Macaca mulatta: one gene and its partners. The protein of the gene in region 1 interacts with the protein of each later gene in a biochemical or structural test. Links are inferred from orthologs where the notes say so. Each region holds a gene or a part of one and is shown in the gene's direction. Other genes may lie near its edges.

Evidence for each region.
Region 2: the proteins of MAP2K7 (region 1) and MAPK8IP2 form a complex in vitro, tested with the Homo sapiens proteins (2 studies listed by BioGRID). The link is inferred for Macaca mulatta from reciprocal best matches to the Homo sapiens genes MAP2K7 and MAPK8IP2.
Region 3: of the proteins of MAP2K7 (region 1) and MAP3K11, one has a biochemical effect on the other in vitro, tested with the Homo sapiens proteins (2 studies listed by BioGRID). The link is inferred for Macaca mulatta from reciprocal best matches to the Homo sapiens genes MAP2K7 and MAP3K11.
Region 4: the proteins of MAP2K7 (region 1) and GADD45B form a complex in vitro, tested with the Homo sapiens proteins (2 studies listed by BioGRID and IntAct). The link is inferred for Macaca mulatta from reciprocal best matches to the Homo sapiens genes MAP2K7 and GADD45B.

The regions. Positions count from the first base shown.
Region 1 is NC_133424.1:8,776,766-8,781,465, forward strand, and holds the start of MAP2K7 (dual specificity mitogen-activated protein kinase kinase 7), read left to right. Parts: upstream 1-1,483; 5' UTR 1,484-1,855; intron 1,856-2,250; exon of another isoform or gene 2,251-2,601; intron 2,602-2,696; 5' UTR 2,697-3,175; coding exon 3,176-3,522; intron 3,523-3,686; coding exon 3,687-3,753; intron 3,754-3,882; coding exon 3,883-3,996; intron 3,997-4,075; coding exon 4,076-4,195; intron 4,196-4,340; coding exon 4,341-4,448; intron 4,449-4,534; coding exon 4,535-4,700. UniProt on the Homo sapiens protein: Dual specificity protein kinase which acts as an essential component of the MAP kinase signal transduction pathway. Essential component of the stress-activated protein kinase/c-Jun N-terminal kinase (SAP/JNK) signaling pathway.
Region 2 is NC_133415.1:846,648-851,658, reverse strand, and holds the start of MAPK8IP2 (C-Jun-amino-terminal kinase-interacting protein 2), read left to right. Parts: upstream 1-1,824; 5' UTR 1,825-1,831; coding exon 1,832-1,896; intron 1,897-2,780; coding exon 2,781-2,886; intron 2,887-4,214; coding exon 4,215-4,490; intron 4,491-4,623; coding exon 4,624-4,717; intron 4,718-4,839; coding exon 4,840-5,011. UniProt on the Homo sapiens protein: The JNK-interacting protein (JIP) group of scaffold proteins selectively mediates JNK signaling by aggregating specific components of the MAPK cascade to form a functional JNK signaling module.
Region 3 is NC_133419.1:8,777,094-8,782,063, forward strand, and holds the start of MAP3K11 (mitogen-activated protein kinase kinase kinase 11), read left to right. Parts: upstream 1-1,783; 5' UTR 1,784-2,275; coding exon 2,276-3,014; intron 3,015-4,970. UniProt on the Homo sapiens protein: Activates the JUN N-terminal pathway. Required for serum-stimulated cell proliferation and for mitogen and cytokine activation of MAPK14 (p38), MAPK3 (ERK) and MAPK8 (JNK1) through phosphorylation and activation of MAP2K4/MKK4 and MAP2K7/MKK7.
Region 4 is NC_133424.1:3,218,252-3,222,327, forward strand, and holds GADD45B (growth arrest and DNA damage-inducible protein GADD45 beta), read left to right. Parts: upstream 1-1,701; 5' UTR 1,702-1,860; coding exon 1,861-1,904; intron 1,905-2,030; coding exon 2,031-2,132; intron 2,133-2,531; coding exon 2,532-2,754; intron 2,755-2,993; coding exon 2,994-3,107; 3' UTR 3,108-3,189; downstream 3,190-4,076.

The DNA.
Region 1 (4,700 bases):
AGAGAGAACATTCTAGCCGGGTGAGTGGCCCTGCAGGGGGCCAGCCTGGGGGAACCTCTGGAGAAGGTGAGCATTGAACAAAGCTGCTGGGGAGGCCTGGCACAGTGGCTCATACCTGTAATCCCAACACTCAGGGAGGCTGAGACAGGAGGATCATCTGAGCCCAGGAGGTCGAGGCTACAGTGAGCCATGATCACACCACTGCACCCCAGCCTGGGTGACAGAGTAAGATCCTGTCTCAAAAATTTAAAAAACGGGCCAGGCGCAGTGGCTGATGCCTGTAATTTCAGTATTTTGGGAAGCCAAGGAGGGTGGATCTCTTGAGGTCAGGAGTTCGAGACCAGCCTGACCAACATGGTGAAACCCTGTCGCTATTAAGAATGCAAGACATTAAGCCAGGCGCGGTGGCTCACACCTGTAATCCCAGCACTTTGGGAGGCCAAGGCGGGTGGATCACCTGTGGTCGGGAGTTCGAGACCCCAACATAGAGAAACCCCGTCTCCACTGAAAATACAAATCAGGCGGGCATGGTGACGCATGCCTGTAATCCCAGCTACTCGGGAGACCGAGGCAGGAGAATAGCTTGAACCCGGGAGGCGGAGGTTGCAGTGAGCCGAGATCACTCCATTGCACTCCAGCCTGGGCAACAAGAGTGAAACTCCATCTAAAAAAAAAAAAAACAAAAGAGATTAGGTGGAAGTTGCAGTGAACTCAGGTCGTGCCACTGCACTCCAGCCTGGGCAACAGAGCAAGACTCCGTCTCAAAACAAAACAAAACAAATGTAAAAAGCGTCTTGAAGGAGGTGGGGGGAGAGAAGACAGCCCTGCCCGGGCTCTGAGCGTAGTGCCAGCCTGTGGTGGGCATGCAGGCTGTGCCCCATGCCTGTGTTGGGAGAGGGAGTAGATGAGGTGCCTGGCCCTGTGAGTGACTGTGAGTGTGTGTGTGTCCGATGGGCAATGGGGACTCTGTCCCAGCTGCACGGGTGTTGGGTCCACAGCGGCACGCCCCGCGTGTGTGTTGTGCTTGTGTGCACTTGCACGGCGTGCGTGTGCATGTTGACATGGCAGCCTGCACACCTGTGGCTCCTGTCAGCACACACGTGCCCTCCAGCCTCTCGCTCTCTCTCATCCGTTCTTTCTCTCTCATCCTCACCCTCTTGCTGTCACTCCACCCTCCTGAGCTGCCATGTGGCCATCACCACCGCTGTGGCCTCTGTTCTCAGGGCCTTTGTGTACCTCCTTCCCCCAGTGCCTACCTGAGCCCTCCCTTCCATTCCCCCGTGCTCCAGTCTGCAGGCCAGCAGCCTCCTCCCCAGGCTCTGGGGCTGCCCTCAGAAGGCCTGGTGGGCTGTGCCGGGGAGGGGGCCCACAGGACTCCTCGAGGGCTGTGGTCCTCACCCCCTGAGTGCAGGGCGGGAGTGGGACTCAGATACTCTCTGAGGGCGGGAACCACGCAGTATCTCAAGAGACACCAGGTGCACAGGGGTTGGGGGCTGGGTGTGAGGAGAGCACAGGCCCTCGGGAGCCAGAAGAGGATCGGGGCTGTGGCTCGGGCCATGGACAGAGCAGAGGCACAAGGACCTGAAGAAGCAGAGGGGGGAACCTGGCCAACGCAGCGAGATCCCGTCTCTACTAAAAAGACAAAGATTAGTTGGGCATGGTGGCGTGTGCCTATAATCCCAGCTACTCAGGAGGCTGAGGCAGGAGAATCACTTGAACCTGGGAGGTGGAGGTTGCAGTGAGTTGAGATCACGCCATTGCACTCCAGCCTGGGCGACAGAGTGAGAACCTATCTCGAAAAAAAAAGAAAAAAAAAAGCACCAGTGGGAGGTGACATGGTGCTGTGGAGGCTGCAGTGGCCAGGACAGCGGGAGGGGCACGGGAGGTGAGGCCTCTAGGCCAGTTAGGAAAGCTGGGCCTGACTGTGTCCCCAGGTCCCCGGAGCCCTTCCCCAGCTCCTGCCTGGTCCTCCAGGAGGGGAGCAAGGGGACACAGCTCCTGCAGGGGCTGGTGGGACCAGGTAGGGGCAGTGCTGGGCCTCCTGATTGAGACTGAGGTCAGCGTCCTCCTGCCTCTTCTACTGGCTGAGATCAGGGTCCCAGGCACCCAGGGGAGGGACGGGGTTTAGCTGCCAGCATGGAGCGGGTCTGTCTGTTCGTGTTAGTCCCTGGGCACCAGTCACCAGGAGCCTGCAGAACTGTGGGAAGAAAAGGTGGACGAGGCAGGAGGAAGAGAGGGGGCTGTCCGTTGAGGGCTTTGGGAGAGCGGCAGGCCCCAGCCCCTGTGGGAGGGGCACCTTGGGAGGTGTGTGTAGCTGTTGTCAGGGCCTCTGGGATGTGAGGTGTCAGGATTGGCTCCTCTGGAGGCCACGTTGGCATCCCGGCCTCTGTTCCTGCACCCCATCGCCAGCCCAGCCAGGGAGACCCTAGCTCCTCCAGGAAGCTGCCCTCCTGTCCCAGGCCCCTCTCTGGCCTGTCTGTGCAGTGCCTCCTCTGGGCACCTGGGCCCAAGTCTTGGTTTCTGTCTGTCTGTCTGTCTCCTGCCCTCCCACCCCTAATGCTGCCTGCCTGCCCCAGGGTGCCCGCCGCCTGCCCGCCCGCTGTAGCATGCCCGAGCTGCCCGCATGCAGGCTGCTGGATGAGCCAACCCCTGCCTGGCCCAGCATTGGCCCCACCTGGTCCCGCCAGCCCCTGCAGGAGCTGTGCCCCCCAACTCTCTTCCCAGATGATGCAGGCCCCCTGAGGTCCTGTCCTGCCCCCACGGGCCCCAGCTCTGCAGGCCAGGCCGGGAGGCCCCCGTGTCAGCCCACTGGCCCGAGGGGGCCCTCCTGACCCCGGAACAGAACATGGGGCAAGGCAGCCTGAAACCTGGGTCTCGTGCCCACTGCCTCCCCAGGGTGGCCCCGCTCGCTCTCGTCTGGGAGCCAAGTTTAGTGCTACCAGCAGGGCCACAGCCCGGGCCAGCCCTGGCAGGCACTCCACCCCCGCCTATCCAGCCTGTGGGCGCTGTGGTCCTGGGCCTGCTTCCTGGGCAGAAGTGGGAGGAAGCGCCCACACCTGTCAGGGAGGCTGCCCGGCCGAGGGACACCTCAGGTCCCCGTCTCATTTCTCCGTCAGCGTAGACTTGGGGCTCCCTCTCCCCTGCCAGCCTCTTCCATTTCTTTCCACGTCAGGGGATGAGACAAGGGACCCTGAGGACAGTCTGGGGTGGGAGGGAGACCCCAGCTCCTCCAGCCCAGCAGGGCAGGGGCTGTGCCGGCCTAGCTAGGGAAGCCCAGGAGGGGAAGGTGAGGGTCCCGACCTCTCCCTGGAGTGCCAGATGTGGAGCTGAGACCAGCTGGGTGCTGACCCCTCCCCTGCCACTGGTTCTCACCCCCCCAGCCCTGCAGCTCCCGCTGGCCAACGATGGGGGCAGCCGCTCGCCATCCTCGGAGAGCTCCCCGCAGCACCCCACGCCCCCCGCCCGGCCCCGCCACATGCTGGGGCTCCCGTCAACCCTGTTCACGCCTCGAAGCATGGAGAGGTGAGCCAGGGGCCTGGCAGGGTTGGGTGGGAAGCAGCATTGAGGGGCCACCGTGCCAGCCTCGGGGAGGGCGGTTAAACCGGTGAGAACCCCGGTATGGGGGGCTGGGGTGGCCAACCTAAGGTCAGGACCCACCTCCACCGGCACCTGCTCCGTGTCCCCAGCATTGAGATTGACCAGAAGCTGCAGGAGATCATGAAGCAGACGGGCTACCTGACCATCGGGGGCCAGGTACCACCTTCACTGTGGCGGGAGAGGGAGGAGGCCCAGCCAGGCTGGACCCATCCTGGGGGTGCCAGTGGGGGGCGGGGGGCGGTGACAGAGGCCCCGGGGACCCTCCAACCCTCCCTCTCCTCCCAGCGCTACCAGGCAGAAATCAATGACCTGGAGAACTTGGGTGAGATGGGCAGCGGCACCTGCGGCCAGGTGTGGAAGATGCGCTTCCGGAAGACCGGCCACGTCATTGCCGTTAAGGTGAGCCTTGGCGGCTACCCCAGCTGCGCCCCACACCCCGGGCCGGTGCTAAGACTCCCTCCTGTCCCTGCCTGTGCAGCAAATGCGGCGCTCGGGGAACAAGGAGGAGAACAAGCGTATCCTCATGGACCTGGATGTGGTGCTCAAGAGCCATGACTGCCCTTACATTGTGCAGTGCTTTGGGACGTTTATCACCAACGTGAGTCCCCAGCCGTGCCAGGTGCCCCCCCCCCGCACCCTGCAGGGTCTCCTCCTCCCTCACCCCCTGCCCCTTCCCAGGGAGCAGAGCCTCTGGGGGCTGGGCCAGAAGACACAGCTCCCCCGGGAACCCCCTCTTACTGCAGACGGACGTCTTCATCGCCATGGAGCTCATGGGCACCTGTGCCGAGAAGCTCAAGAAGCGGATGCAGGGCCCCATCCCCGAGCGCATCCTGGGCAAGATGACAGTGGCGGTGAGTGGCCAGGGGGGGCGTGCACCGGGCAGGTGGCCTTGGGCCTGTGCCCCCGGTCACATGCACCCTCTTCTGCCTACCTGCAGATTGTGAAGGCGCTGTACTACCTGAAGGAGAAGCACGGTGTCATCCACCGCGACGTCAAGCCCTCCAACATCCTGCTGGACGAGCGGGGCCAGATCAAGCTTTGCGACTTCGGCATCAGCGGCCGCCTGGTGGACTCCAAAGCCAAAACGCGGAGCGCCGGCTGTG
Region 2 (5,011 bases), on another chromosome or scaffold:
GGAGGGTGGATCACCTGAGGTCAGGAGTTTGGGACCAGCCTGCCCAACATGGTGAAAACCCATCTCTACTAAAAACACAAAAATTAGGCGGATGTGGTGGTGATTGCCTGTAATCCCAGCTACTCGGGAGACTGAGGCACGAGAATCACTTGAACCTGGGAGGCAGAGTTTACATTGAGCTGAGATCATGCCACTGCACTCCAGCCTGGGCGACAGAGCAAGTTCTGCCTCAAAAAAAAAAAAAAAAAAAAAAAAAAGGAATTTTCCACAGAACTAAGACGTAAATCTTAGGGCACATAACTTTCATCAAGGGGGAAAAGGGATTGCACTCTTGTTGAAACTCCAGCCTCCTTCTTTAGCCAATATTTAGCCAGGTGCTGTGGTTCACACCTGTAATCCCAGCACTTTGGGAGGCTGAGGCCAGAGGATAGCTGAGTCCAGGAGCTCAAGACCAACCTGGGCAATACAGAGAGCCGGTCTCTCTCTCTCTCTCTCTCTCTCTCTCTCTCTCTCTCTCTCTCTCTCTCTCTCTCTCTCTCTCTCTCTCTCTCTCTCTTCCCCCTCTCTCTCTCTATTTATTTATTTGAGTCGGAGTCTTGCTCTTGTCACCAGGCTGGAGTGCAGTGGCGCAATCTCGTCTCACTGCAACCTCCTCCTCCCAGGTTCAAATGATTCTCCTGCCTCAGCCTCCCGAGTCACTGGGACTACAGGCGCGCACCACCATGCCCGGCTAATTCTTTTGTATTTTCAGTAGAGATGGGGTTTCCCCATGTTGGCCAGGATGGTCTCGATCTCTTGACGTCGTGATCCACCCGCCTCGGCCTCCCAAAGTGGTGGGATTACAGGCATGAGCCACCGCGCCCGGCCACCGGTCTCTATTTTAGAAAGAAAAAAAGTGTTCTGCAGTCTCCCTAGTTCTGCGCCCTCAACCCTGATCTCCTGCCTCCTCCCACAGCCACCCTCTTGAGCTCAGCTTCAACCATGGCCCTCCCCACAGGGCTCCATCCCAAGCCAGAGCGGGTCAGCTCCCTACACAGGGCCCAGCAACACGGTGCCCAAGAAAAAGTGTTTCCAATGGGACGCACATCGCCTCTGTGGGTGCTAACTTCTCCCATGCCTGTCGGTACCTCTGTCCGGCTGTGCAGTCTCTACTGAGTGCTCAAAGTCCACTTTTGACCCCGGCCAGCATCCTCTGAGTACCGTGTGCTCGATTCCGAATCCAGCCCTGCTGGGCGACCCTTGTGCAGACGTCCCTGTGCAGCCCGGTCAGCACCCCGTGGGGACAGCTCCGATCAGCACCCGACGGCGGACAGCTCCTCCCGCGCCTCCCGCCTCGCCCGCCACCCAGCTCAGGGCCGCACCCGGGTTAGGGTTCCTGGGGGGACCCCTGGGGGCGGCGGCGCAGCTCCTGGGGCCGCCCCGGCCTCTCGCCAGAGGGAACAGCCCACGGTGCACCCGAGGCCCGCGGACCCCGGCGCTGCCTCTCCGGCCTCCCGCCCCGCGCGGGTCCTCCAGGGCGGGGCCCGACGCCCACCCGCCCTCCCCTTCCCTCCCGCCCCTCCCCGTGAAAAATCCTCCTCGCACGCCCGGTCCTTCCCCAACCAGCGCCCGGCAGTGAAGCCGCCGCCTCTCCTCCAACCAGCGTCCCCGGCCGCGTCCCTCCCCCGCCTCCCCCGCCGCCCTCCCCGCGCCGCCGCGCAGTCCGGGCGAGGTGCGCGGGGCGGGCGCCGCAGGGCGTGTCACGAGGTGAGCGGGGCGGGCCGAGCGCGGGCGCGGGGCGCGGCGAGGCTCCCGCACCCCCCGCCGCAGTCGCGGGCCTCTCCCGGAGAAGATGGCGGATCGCGCGGAGATGTTTTCTCTCTCCACCTTCCACTCGCTGTCGCCGCCGGGCTGCAGGTACCCCCTCGGCGCCCGGGCCGGGCGGGCCCTCCGCTCCCTGCGCCCCGCCGACCCCGACCCGCCCGGACCCCCGTCCCCGCCGCCGGCGCGGACCCGGCCCCAGCCCCCTGCGGTCCTTGAGCCTCGGCTCGGGCGCCCCACCCCCACCCGCTCCCACTCCCTCCGTCTTCACCGCGCGGCCCCAGCCTCCGTGACCCCCGGCCCCGCCGGGATTCTGAGCCGCGCCCGGCCTGGACCGCTGACCTGGCAAGGGTGGAGGCCCTGGGCCGACCCTCTGCGGGGGAGGATGCGGGCGCGATGCGGGCACACCCTCCCAGCGCGGCGTGTCCCGGTGGCCTTGGCCTCCTTCAGTGGACGCCAGACCTGGCCGATAGGGCCCGGCCGGGAGAGAGTGGAAATCAAGCCCGGGGCCCTGCGGGAAGGGACTGGGGTGGGGAGGACGCTGGGCCTCTGGGTTTAGGCCTCACTCCGCCAGCGAGGGGGAGACAAACAGGCCAGACTCTCCTCCCAGAGCAGGCGCGACCCCTCCCCATCTGCCGCTGCCGGGTTGCAGCCCCCCCTCCCGTGCTCTGCAAGACCTTGACCCCAGGGGCCTGGAGCTGCGAGTGGAGGGAGGAGAGGCTGCTGGCTCTCCAGGGAGGCGGGGTGGGAGGGGTGGGGGCAGGGTTGGCTGCTCTGGGCAGGCCTGGCTCAGACGGGGGAGGGGATCCACAGGAGAGCAGAGCTTGGGGGTCAAGATGATGGCAGGATGTGTTCCGGGAGCTGGGGGTTGTGGAGACCACGGGGCGGAGGAGCTGAGGCCGCGCTCTGCTCCTTCTCAAGGCCAGTTCCCAGGCAGAGAGTCCAGGTTGGTAGCTCTCTGACCCTGGTCTCCTTTCCAGGCCTCCCCAGGACATAAGCCTGGAAGAGTTTGACGACGAAGATCTGTCTGAGATCACTGATGACTGTGGCCTGGGCCTCAGCTACGACTCAGACCACTGTGAGAAGGTGGGGGAAGAGTTGGGGGCACAGATCCAGCTTAAGGGAGGGCCTCATTAGGTTCTTCTTAGCATTCACTTGGGGTTTTAGGGTGGGTGTGAGCTCAGCCTTGAACCGGGGACTCCTCTGATAGCTCCTCCCCACTTAACCCTTGAGGTTTCCTTGGTATCAACCCTCTCTTATTCCAATACATTGCAGGCCTCCACGCAAGGCCTTCCCCAGCATTCTCCCCGACACCATCAGTGGCCAGACCGGGACAGGGAGGTGCTCTTTTGCTTTGGGTGCCCTCTGTCCTCAGATCACTCCCAGAAAGATCTAACCCCTGGCAGCTGCCATCACAACCTTGTCCCATCCGCAGCCCTGTGCTCTCGTCTGCAGCTCCCATCTGTCTCTCTCATGTCTCCCCCCGCTGAAATCGTTTCTCCCCCATCTCCTGCTTCTCCTTCTCCCTGTCTCTCCACATTTCTGCTTTCATTTATTGAAGAACAGTTCTGGGCAACTGCCATGTGGCAAGTACTGGGGGCTTCTGGGGGCTGGGAGTGGAACAGGATAGCTGCCCTCCGGAGCTGCAACTTAGTAGAGGAGAAAGACTTGTAAGGGACAATGACTGCCCACGTGTCAAGGGCTGCATTCCAACAGAGACATAAGTTCCACAAGGGGGAAGGGAACCCAATCCACACTGAAGGAATCAGGGAGAATTTCCAGAGGAAATGTCAACCATGCCCTGAGGTTAGCAGAGCCAGGCAGATGGGGTAGGTAGGAGGGAATGGAGGAGAGGAAGTGCCAGCATGGGAATTAACTGTGCCAATGGCCCTGGGGTTGGTGCAAAGTTGGTGAATCCTCAGAGTGCAGGCTGTCTCTACGTTTATGCGTTTGTTTGATATTTACTGAACATACGCTGAGCCCCAGGTCTTGTTCTTAGGGGTGGGTGCAACAGTGCACAACATGGATGTGACCCTGCCCTGGTGGGGCTTGCAACAGACTAAAAAACCATGTCCAGTAACTGTAAGCTGTGTTAAAATGCTGTGAAGGGAACACAGTGCTGGTGTCAAATGTGATGGGGTTCTGCAGTGAGATGAGTCTAAAAGCGGGGCTGGGGCTGCTCTGAGAATCCCTGTCATTCAGCTGTAGAGTTTTTTGGGTCCTTCCCAAGAACTGGAGTGATCCCGACGTGTCTTAAGCAGATTTTAAAAACATCGCCCTGTAGACAGAGGGGCAGAGTGAGCTGGAAGGGGCTGTCCTTTGACTGATGCACGCCGATTTCCCTTCTCCTGCACCTGGACCCCGGGCTGCTGCTGCTCTCTGGCCCAGCCCTGCTATCTCCCTCCCTCCTGCAGGACAGCCTCTCCCTGGGGCGCTCGGAGCAGCCGCACCCCATCTGCTCCTTCCAGGATGACTTCCAGGAGTTTGAGATGATCGATGACAATGAAGAGGAGGACGATGAGGACGAGGAAGAGGAGGAGGAGGAGGAGGAGGGAGATGAGGAAGGCCAGGAGGGAGGAGACCCTGGCTCAGAGGCACCTGCCCCTGGTCCCCTTATCCCCTCCCCTTCTCTGGAGGAGCCCCATAAGCACCGGCCAACCACCCTCCGTCTGACCACACTGGGGGCCCAGGTGAGTGCCCCGACCCACAGCTCCTTGGAGCTGAGCCTGGGTTCATAGCACCTGGGACTCTGCAGCCAGCCCTGCTCACCCCCTGGGAGCTGGAGGCCCTCCTCAGGACGGCCATCATGTATCTCCACCCCAGGACTCCCTGAACAACAACGGAGGCTTTGACCTGGTGCCTCCGGCCTCCTGGCAAGAGACAGCGCTGTGCTCACCCGCCCCGGAGGCCCTCAGAGGTGAGGGGTGGTGGGCCCGCGGGCCACGGTGAAGTGGGGGGGGGGGAGGGGAGGGAGGATGGGCTGGTTGCTGAAAGAGGCCTGGATGGTGCAGAGAGGGTGACCCCCACCTCCCTGCCCAGCAGAGCCCCCGGGCCCCCTCCCTCCCACGGACACAGGGCCCGGCGGGACGCAGTCGCCAGTGCGCCCGGGTTGCGACTGCGAAGGGAACCGGCCTGCGGAACCCCCGGCGCCAGGGGGGACTTCGCCCTCCTCAGATCCCGGCATCGAGGCTGACCTGAGAAGCCGCTCGAG
Region 3 (4,970 bases), on another chromosome or scaffold:
AGGCGCGGGGCACGGGCCGGGCACCCGTCGGCGGCATCCAGAGGTGGGCGTGGGGTGGATGCTCCCGGGGTGCAGGCGACAGCTCTCTAGTCTCCGGACCAGGGAGAACCCCAGGATCTGGGGTCCACTTCCGGGGTCGCAGGTCACTCGCTTGGGGCTCCGCGCTCGCCCGGCTTCTGCCGGTGCCGGCCTAAGGAAGAGGCCGGAAGAAGGAGCCGCGAGCCGCCAGCCTTCAGTGGCGCATGCGTCCAACGGTTCCAATTGAGACCCGGAAAAGGAAAACTTGACGGCATGAATGCGCAAGCGCAGAGAGGTGGTGGCGCGGTAGGACGCGAGGGGTGCCATTTGTGCGTGCGCAGAGTCCAGAACTAAAGCAAGTACATGCGCAAAAGCGTTTGGGCGCATGCGTACACCCAGGCGTCGCCAACCCAGGGTAGACGACTGGGCGGAACCAAAGAGACAGTTGAGTAGCCATTGGGTAACGGCAAAGTAATTGGCGCACAGCTCTTCCAATGAGTTACAGGAGACGGGGAAAAGATGGAGGCGTGGAATCCCCTAGTTGCAGCGAGTGTTCTGCACTACCGAAGCACGCCCCTCTCGGTCCGCCCCCTTTAATGCTGGACCTCCTACGTCCTGATCGTTTCTCGGCTCCCAGCGGCGTCTACTTCCGGGTCAGAGCTCAGACCTAGGGTGTAGAGAACAACCTTCCGGAACAGGCAGGAATAGTCGAAAAAGGATAGCGTCGTCTTTCTTAAAGTGACAGGCTTAAAGCAATTGGGGCAGCCCTATCCAGAGGTTCTGAGGGCGACTCAGCTATTCTGAATCCAATCGTGGGCAAAGTTCTGGACAAGTCTCAGGATTCTGCCAATGGGGAAGGGATATGAAGAAGCGGATTGTTTCCCAGGTGAGGAGAAGAGCAGAACCTTAGACAATCCACTCCAAGAGCTTGAGGTGCAGCCAGTTCCGTCTGTCCTCCAGTCTTCCCCACCCCATCCCACTAGCTCTGCGAGGCAGAGCTTTCTTGTACTCATATCATATATGAAAAGAATGGCCGGGCGCGGTGGCTCACGCCTGTAATCCCAGCACTTTGGGAGGTCGAGGCGGGCGGATCACGAGGTCAGGGGTTTGAGACCAGCATGGTCAACGTGGTGAAACCCGTCTCTACCAAAAATACAAAAATTAGCCGGCCGTGGTGCCACGCGCCGGTAGTCCCAGCTACTCGGGAGGCTGAGGCAGGAGAATCGCTTGAACCCGGGAGGCAGAGGTTGCAGTGAGCTTAGACTGCGCCATTGCATACCAGCCTGGGTGACAGAGAAAGGACTCCGTCTCAAAAAAAGAAAAAAGAAAGAAAGAAGGAAAATAATGAGGCTCAGAATGGATGGATCGCACAGTCCCACAACTTCGCAGCCAACACCAGACTTGGGTTCACCCCCTTCCCAAGTGTGGTTCTGTAACCCCGTTTTGCTGACGCCAGTGCGGATGCAGAGGACAGAGATGGCCCATCCTTAGCAGAGACCAACCTGCACCCTGGCCAGCAGAGCACGCAGCTGGAGGCTTTTCTTTCTATATCTCAAAGCCTGCTGTGATGGGGAATCTGGTTCTGCCCTTTCCCTCCTCTGCCTCTCCTGGCCCGCCTACCCGGGAACTCCCCTGCTGGAGCCTCTGGGAGGGGAGCGGTGCAGGCCGCCCGCGTCATCTGATGCTGTTTCCTGCAGGAGGGAGAAGAGCGGAAAAAAGTGAAACTCCACCCTCCACCTCTGCCTCCCGCCCCCGAGGCCAAAGTACAAAGGGAGGAGGAAGAAGGGAGCGGGGTCGGAGCCGTCGGGACCAAAGGAGCCGGGGACAGGAACAGGCAGTCTGGGCCCAACTGTGGACGCTCCCTCCACCCCCGCGCAAAAAGACCCAACCGGAGTTGAGGCGCTGCCCCTGGAGGCCCCACCTTACGCTTGGCGGGGGCCGGAGCCAGGCTCCCAGGACTGCTCCAGGACCGAGGGAAGCTCGGGCCCCTCCAAGCTAGCCATGGTGAGGCGTCGGAGGCCCCGGGGCCCCACCCCCCCGGCCTGACCACACTGCCCTGGGTGCCCTCCTCCAGAAGCCCGAGATGCGGGGGGCCGGGAGGCGACACTCCTGGCTCCCCAGAGAGGCGTGGGTCTGGGGCTGAGGGCCAGGGCCCGGATGCCCAGGTTCCGGGACTAGGGCCTTGGCAGCCAGCGGGGGTGGGGACCACGGGCACCCAGAGAAGGTCCTCCACACATCCCAACGCCGGCTCCCGGCCATGGAGCCCTTGAAGAGCCTCTTCCTCAAGAGCCCTCTAGGGTCATGGAATGGCAGTGGCAGCGGGGGTGGTGGGGGCAGTGGAGGAGGCCGGCCTGAGGGGTCTCCAAAGGCAGCGGGTTATGCCAACCCGGTGTGGACAGCCCTGTTCGACTACGAGCCCAGTGGGCAGGACGAGCTGGCCCTGAGGAAGGGTGACCGTGTGGAGGTGCTGTCCCGGGACGCAGCCATCTCAGGAGACGAGGGCTGGTGGGCAGGCCAGGTGGGTGGCCAGGTGGGCATCTTCCCATCCAACTATGTGTCTCGGGGTGGCGGCCCGCCCCCCTGCGAGGTGGCCAGCTTCCAGGAGCTGCGGCTGGAGGAGGTGATCGGCATTGGAGGCTTCGGCAAGGTGTACCGGGGCAGCTGGCGAGGTGAGCTGGTGGCTGTGAAGGCAGCTCGCCAGGACCCCGATGAGGACATCAGTGTGACAGCTGAGAGTGTTCGCCAGGAGGCCCGGCTCTTCGCCATGCTAGCACACCCCAACATCATTGCCCTCAAGGCTGTGTGCCTGGAGGAGCCCAACCTGTGCCTGGTGATGGAGTATGCAGCTGGTGGACCCCTCAGCCGAGCTCTGGCAGGGCGGCGCGTGCCTCCCCATGTGCTGGTTAACTGGGCTGTGCAGATTGCCCGTGGGATGCACTACCTGCACTGCGAGGCCCTGGTGCCCGTCATCCATCGCGACCTCAAGTCCAACAACAGTGAGTTTCTGGCGGCCTGGTTGCGGGTGGCATGGCTCTGGCACACACCTGCTCCCAACCTTCCACTGAGCCTAGCTTAGGGTCTGCTGCAGGTAGGAGCACTCGCCCTAGGGGGTCCCAGCTGACCAGGTGCCCATGGGCTCAAGCTAGCCCCCAAACAGAGCTCCAGGCACCCAGAAGAGTCTTCCTGTCCCAGCCTCAGAAGTCCTTGGCCCCAGCCTGCAGCTGAGGTTTGGACAAGTTAAGAAATTGGGATTTCTCAGGTGGGCCATAAGCATCCTGCCCAGCTCTGCCTCCCACCTCAAGGAAGTCCTCTGGAAGCTCGCGCTCCCCATCTTCTCCTCCCCTAAATTCATATTCGTAGAGTTGGTGCTCTGTCCTCTCCTGTCATCATGGGCAGCTCCTCCAGAACAGATATCTCAGAGAGAGAAGCCCTCCTTGGCAGTCAAGGCCAAGGCCAGGGCTGGAATTCTGGCCTAGCCCTCCCTGGCTGCATGACCTCTAGCTCGTTACTCAAACTCGGAGCCTCAATTTCAGACTCTGTAAAAAGGGAGAGTGAAACAGCTCAACAGCCTGGGCAAGCCTGACCTGCGATCCCCAACCCGCAGCGGGTCTTCAGCCATGGAGATGGGCATTTGAGGGCTGGATCACCAAGAGGGCCTAGCCTGCAATCAGTGCTTGGGGTGGGAGTGCTGGGCTAGGGGAGACTCCATCTCCCACCATTTTAAGCCCCCAACACGCTTTCCATCACGGCCCAAGAGAAGCAAGTGGTAGCTTCAGAGGGCTTCCTGGTGCGCGCAGCATTTAGAGAGCGAAGGCATGGAAGCAGGACCTAGCACACAGCAGGGACCAGGAGCAGGGGCCTCCTAGAGCCCAGGGTGCAGGCTGGAGAGCAGCAGTAGGAAATGCAGGAGGGGCCAGGCTCAGTGGGGTCACTGGAAAAGCATGAGACATTCTTAGAGGGGGGTCCATGTGGATATTTTGAGCCTCCTAGCCTGGGCTGACCATGGACAAGGGGCTTGCAGGAAACAGAGTGCTGAGCCCCAGATATCCAAGTTCTTGCCAGGGCTGGAGGAGCCAGGGGAGGCCTGCCAACCACCCCACCCACTCTTCTCATCCCTTGTAAGGTGCAGTTCCCACCTCTCAGCCTCAACCCTGGGCTCTATCTAGGGACCCCCACTACCTGCCCCAATCTGAGGGGGATTCCCCGAAGGCGCAGGGGGAGGGGACTCCCATCTTCTGTTTTTCCTCCGTTTTCTTTCCAGAAAAAATGGAACAATAGCCCAGGCCCCTGCTCCCCACCCTCCCCACTGCTTCCTGCGTTTCCTGCTGCCCTGAGCCGGCTTCCTGTCCCTGCTCCAGCCCCTGCTCCCTCCCTAGCCCAGCTGCCTGCAGGGGAGGAAAGAGCTGGGGGTGGAGGGCTTGCAGGAGGAAGGAGCCTGGAACTGCTGCCCCACTCCCCTCTAGTTCCCCTGCTTCCCTCTCAGAGTCTGGGAGTTGGTGGTAAAGGGCAGGCAAGGTGCCCTCAGCCTCCCTGAGCCTGGCATTTAACCTCGGAGACCCCAGTCTTAGGCCCAAGTTGCTGTCTGCGGGATTGGGGTGGGGGGAGTCCCTGGGCTTGGGGGGGCACAGGCAAGAAACAATGGCATGATTTTCCTGGACAATGGGGGCCTTGTGAGGAAGCCTGGCGGGGAGAGGAGGGGGAATTCTCCAGGCCCACGAGTCACAGGACTGACCAGCCAGCTCGGCCTGGGCCTGACCTCCCCCAGTTCTCCCCAAAAGGACTCCCCCTCCCAAGTGGGAGACCTGGCCCAGGCCTCCCAGAAAGGAGAAGTAGGGACCACAGGAGGGAAGAGGAAGAGGCGTGAGCTGCCCAGGCCACTCCCAAGCCCCACAGAGGCCAGCCTAGGGAGGGAGCTGGTGGCCAGGTCCCTGTCAGAGGCCAGGGAGCCCTAA
Region 4 (4,076 bases), about 5.6 Mb from region 1:
AGGCGTGATCCACCGCTCCCGGCCGATTTAATTTTTAAAATTAAATTATAAAATATAAATATATATGTTGCCTGCGTAAAACATTGCATATATAAAATTATATGAAACGTTGCAACTGCCACGGTCCCCTTATCCCCCGCCTCCAGCCCAGTGCCCCGCCCGTCCATCCCTCTCTTCCGGCGCTGAGGGCGCAGAAACTCTGCGCGGCCACCAGATGGCGCCGCCGCGCCTCGCAGCCCCGGGACATTTCGTGCCCCCCGGCGGTGGGCGGCGCGGAGGAGGCGGGATGCGTCAGCTGGGCTCGCGGGCCAGGGAGCCGGGGAACCGGGGAAACCGAGCCGCAGGGCCGAGGCCAGACCCCAGGCTGGCGGGGGAGGGGACTCAGATGTGAGTCACCCGGGAGCCCCCAGTCGACCGTGGGAGACGTTGTCATGCGGGGCCTGCCCGCTTCGTTCCTAAGCAGCCTTCCTGGGGCGGCGGAGTCCTGCAGGCGGCCGTGCCTGGCGCACAGGCGTGGCTCCAACACGAACTAGCCTGTGGCCTCACCAAGCCTCAGTTTACCCTTTTGCATAATGCACATAAGCATCTCCCCTGCTTCTCAGGTCTTGGATTAAATCATCCATGAATCGGGAGGGGTGGAGGGTGCCAGATCCGCACCACGCTCAGTGCAGGTCAGCGCCCACCCCGGAGTGAGAAATAAAGGTGGCCGTCATCCTTGCACGTGGGCCTGGGGTGGCGGCGTGCAGCCGCAGCCTGCACCATTCCCCCCAACAATGGCTTTCTCCTCGGCCTGGAGGCCTCCGCACGCGCAAAGCCTGGAACGCCAGGCAGCTGGCGGGGGCGGGGCCACGCCACCTGCACCTCCCACGCGCGCCCCACCCTGAAACTCGCGGGGTCGGCGAGGGGGCGCCCGCTTTCTTCTCCAGAGTGCCCCGGGCTTTGCAACCTCCCACTTTCGGGGCCCTGGAGGAGGCCTCCCGCGACCACCAGGTGACAGATGATGTGTATTGAGCGCTTACTGTCAGCCGTATTTTATGTCATGCTCTGCAAACCAGCGAGGCCGGCGCTGCAGCCCCATTACTCAGACAGGAATATAGAGGCCGGGAAAAGCGAAATCACCCAGGGGCTGGGGTCGCCGCAGCCAGGAGAGACTCCGGTCATCACCACCACCTGGGCGAGATCAGGCTGCAAACGGGGCCCCTTCCCGGTGCAGCCCCTCCACCCCCAGCAGAACTTGGGAAAGGAGCAGTCCGGGACTCTCCGCGCATCGGGAGGGGATTCCAGGCCCCCCCCGGCGAAAGTCCGGGCCGCCTCGCGCGCTGGAAATCCCGCGCGCGCCCCGAACCGCGGCTCGGCTGCCGGGAAATCAGGAGAAAAAAACTTCTGCTTTTTTTTTTCTTTTCTGGCATTCGCGGTCACCTACCCGGCCCCCGCGCGCCCTCCTCCCGGTTCTCGCCCCCACGTGGGGCGCCCCCACACGGCGCTCCGCCCCCTCCCCGCCGTCGGCCAACCGCAGAGCTGTCTGCACTCTCCGTTGTCCTTCCACCAATAGGAGGGGTGAATGACTCCACTGAGGCCACGCCCCAGCCGTCAAGTCTATAAAAGTCGGTGCCGGAGGCTCCCGGCTCAGATCGCCGAGGCTTCGGACTACGGTTGGTTTCTGCAACTTCCCGGATTATTTTCGCCAAGGACTTTGCAACATTTTTTTCCGCCTTTTCTGGAAGGATTTCGCTGCTTCCCGAAGGTCTTGGACGAGCGCTCCAGCTCCGTGGGAAGGTTTTGGGCTTTCTGGCGCGGATTTTGCAATTTCTCCCTGGGGACTGTCGTGGAGCCGCGTCCACTGTGGATTATAATTGCAACATGACGCTGGAAGAGCTCGTGGCGTGCGACAACGCGGCGCAGAAGTAAGTAGCCGGGGCCGCCGCCGTCTGAGGTCGGCCGGGACGGGATGGGTCGGGTTGGGCCGGGCCGGGAGCGGAATGTAGCACCCGGTGGTCCGCCCGTCACTGATCCCTCTCTCCTGGCCTCAGGATGCAGACGGTGACCGCCGCGGTGGAGGAGCTGTTGGTGGCCGCTCAGCGCCAGGATCGCCTCACAGTGGGGGTGTACGAGTCGGCCAAGTTGATGAATGTGTGAGTCAGACCCCCTCCCCGGGCCGGGCGCGGGTGGGACCGGACCTCCCCTCCGCTCTGGACGCTTTCCACACGCTTGTCTCGCATGGGGCTGGGACTTCCCCAAGTGCCACCCGCTGTGGATGCAGAGCTCCTCTGCTGTTTTGTGGATTGGGGGCTGCCGTATCCTGATGCATCGTCTGCAAGCGCCCCTCCCGCTGTGGGCCTGTCTCCCCACACCCCACACTTTGAACCGTGTGCCTTCCCCGCCCCCCACCGTCACCAGCTTGCAGAGGCAATCCCCTGCACCCCTGCAGTTTCTCTTTTGCTCTTGCACGCTCCTTTTTTTGCAAACTCCCCCTGCACGGTGGCCTCTCCCCTGTTCCCGGCTGACCCACCCCTTCCCTTTGGCCCCCTCAGGGACCCAGACAGCGTGGTCCTCTGCCTCTTGGCCATTGACGAGGAGGAGGAGGATGACATCGCCCTGCAAATCCACTTCACGCTCATCCAGTCCTTCTGCTGCGACAACGACATTAACATCATGCGGGTGTCGGGCATGCAGCGCCTGGCACAGCTCCTGGGAGAGCCGGCCGAGACCCAGGGCACCACTGAGGCCCGAGACCTGCATTGTCTCCTGGTCACGGTGAGTTGGGCCTCTGCCCTGACCTGCCACGCCCGGGCACCTGGGCTGGTGTTTGTCAACAAAGTCGGGCTGACTGGTCCTGCACAGCTCAGCGTTCAACCATGCTTGGCATGTCCCGTGGGCAGCCGGGCTGGGGCCTCCTCACCCAGGGAGCTATTTTGAGCCTGCCTGTTTTCCCCACACATGGGGCCTTGGGAGAGGGAGGCTCCCACTAAACCCCTTCTTTTCCCCTCCCACAGAACCCTCACACCGACGCCTGGAAGAGCCACGGCTTGGTGGAGGTAGCCAGCTACTGCGAAGAAAGCCGGGGCAACAACCAGTGGGTGCCCTACATCTCTCTTCAGGAACGCTGAGGCCCTTCCCAGCAGCAGAACCTGTTGAGTTGCTGCCAAAAACAAAAAATAAAATAAATATTTGAACCCCCCTCCCCCCCAGCACAACCCCCCCAAAACAACCCAACCCACGAAACCATCGGGGGCAGAGTCGTTGGAGACTGAAGAGGAGGAGGAGGAGGAGGAGAAGGGGAGTGAGTGGCCGCCCCCAGGGCGGAGATCGGGGAGCTGGCGGCCGCCGATCCGATGGAGGAGAAGTGGGGACCCAGGCCAGCAGGAGACAGGACCCCGGAGCTCAGGCCTTGGGATGGAGCAGAAGCTGGAGGGGTGGGGCACGCTGCCGCCTTCCCTATCATGGAAGGTCCAGACTCTCCACTTGAGGGTGGAGTGAGACTGACTGCAACCCCCACCCTCCTTGAGACTGGAGCTGGCGTCTGCAGACTAGAGACCTGGTTGAACTTGGTTGGTGCTTGTCTGCACCCTCGACAAGACCACACTTTGGGACTTGGGAGCTGGGGCCGAAGTTGCTCTGTACCCATGAACTCCCAGTTTGCGAATCATAGAGACAATCTATTTTGTTACTTGCACTTGTTACTCGAACCACTGAGAGCGAGATGGGAAGCACAGATATCTATATTTTTATTTCTACTCTGATGACCTTGTAATAAATTTCTAAAGCTTCTGGGTGCTTGTATGTTTTCGGCTTCTGAGAACAACCGGGACCCCTGCCCCCTCCCCTGGGACACGCTTCACACCCCCCCTCCCCACCTCTCCTCCGCAACCCCTGCCAGCTCACCAGGAAGTGTTACTCAAACCCCTGTTAGCAGCTCCAGGCTCCCGTGCAAAACAGTACCTCTTCTCTGCAGCAGGCGCCTCCACCGACTCCAACAAATCTATGCCTCTTTTTTTTTTTTTTTTTCCCTCTCCTCCTACCCTGTAGCAATTAAGAGACCGGTTTATTACGAAACCTGGCCGCCGTGCCACCGCTGT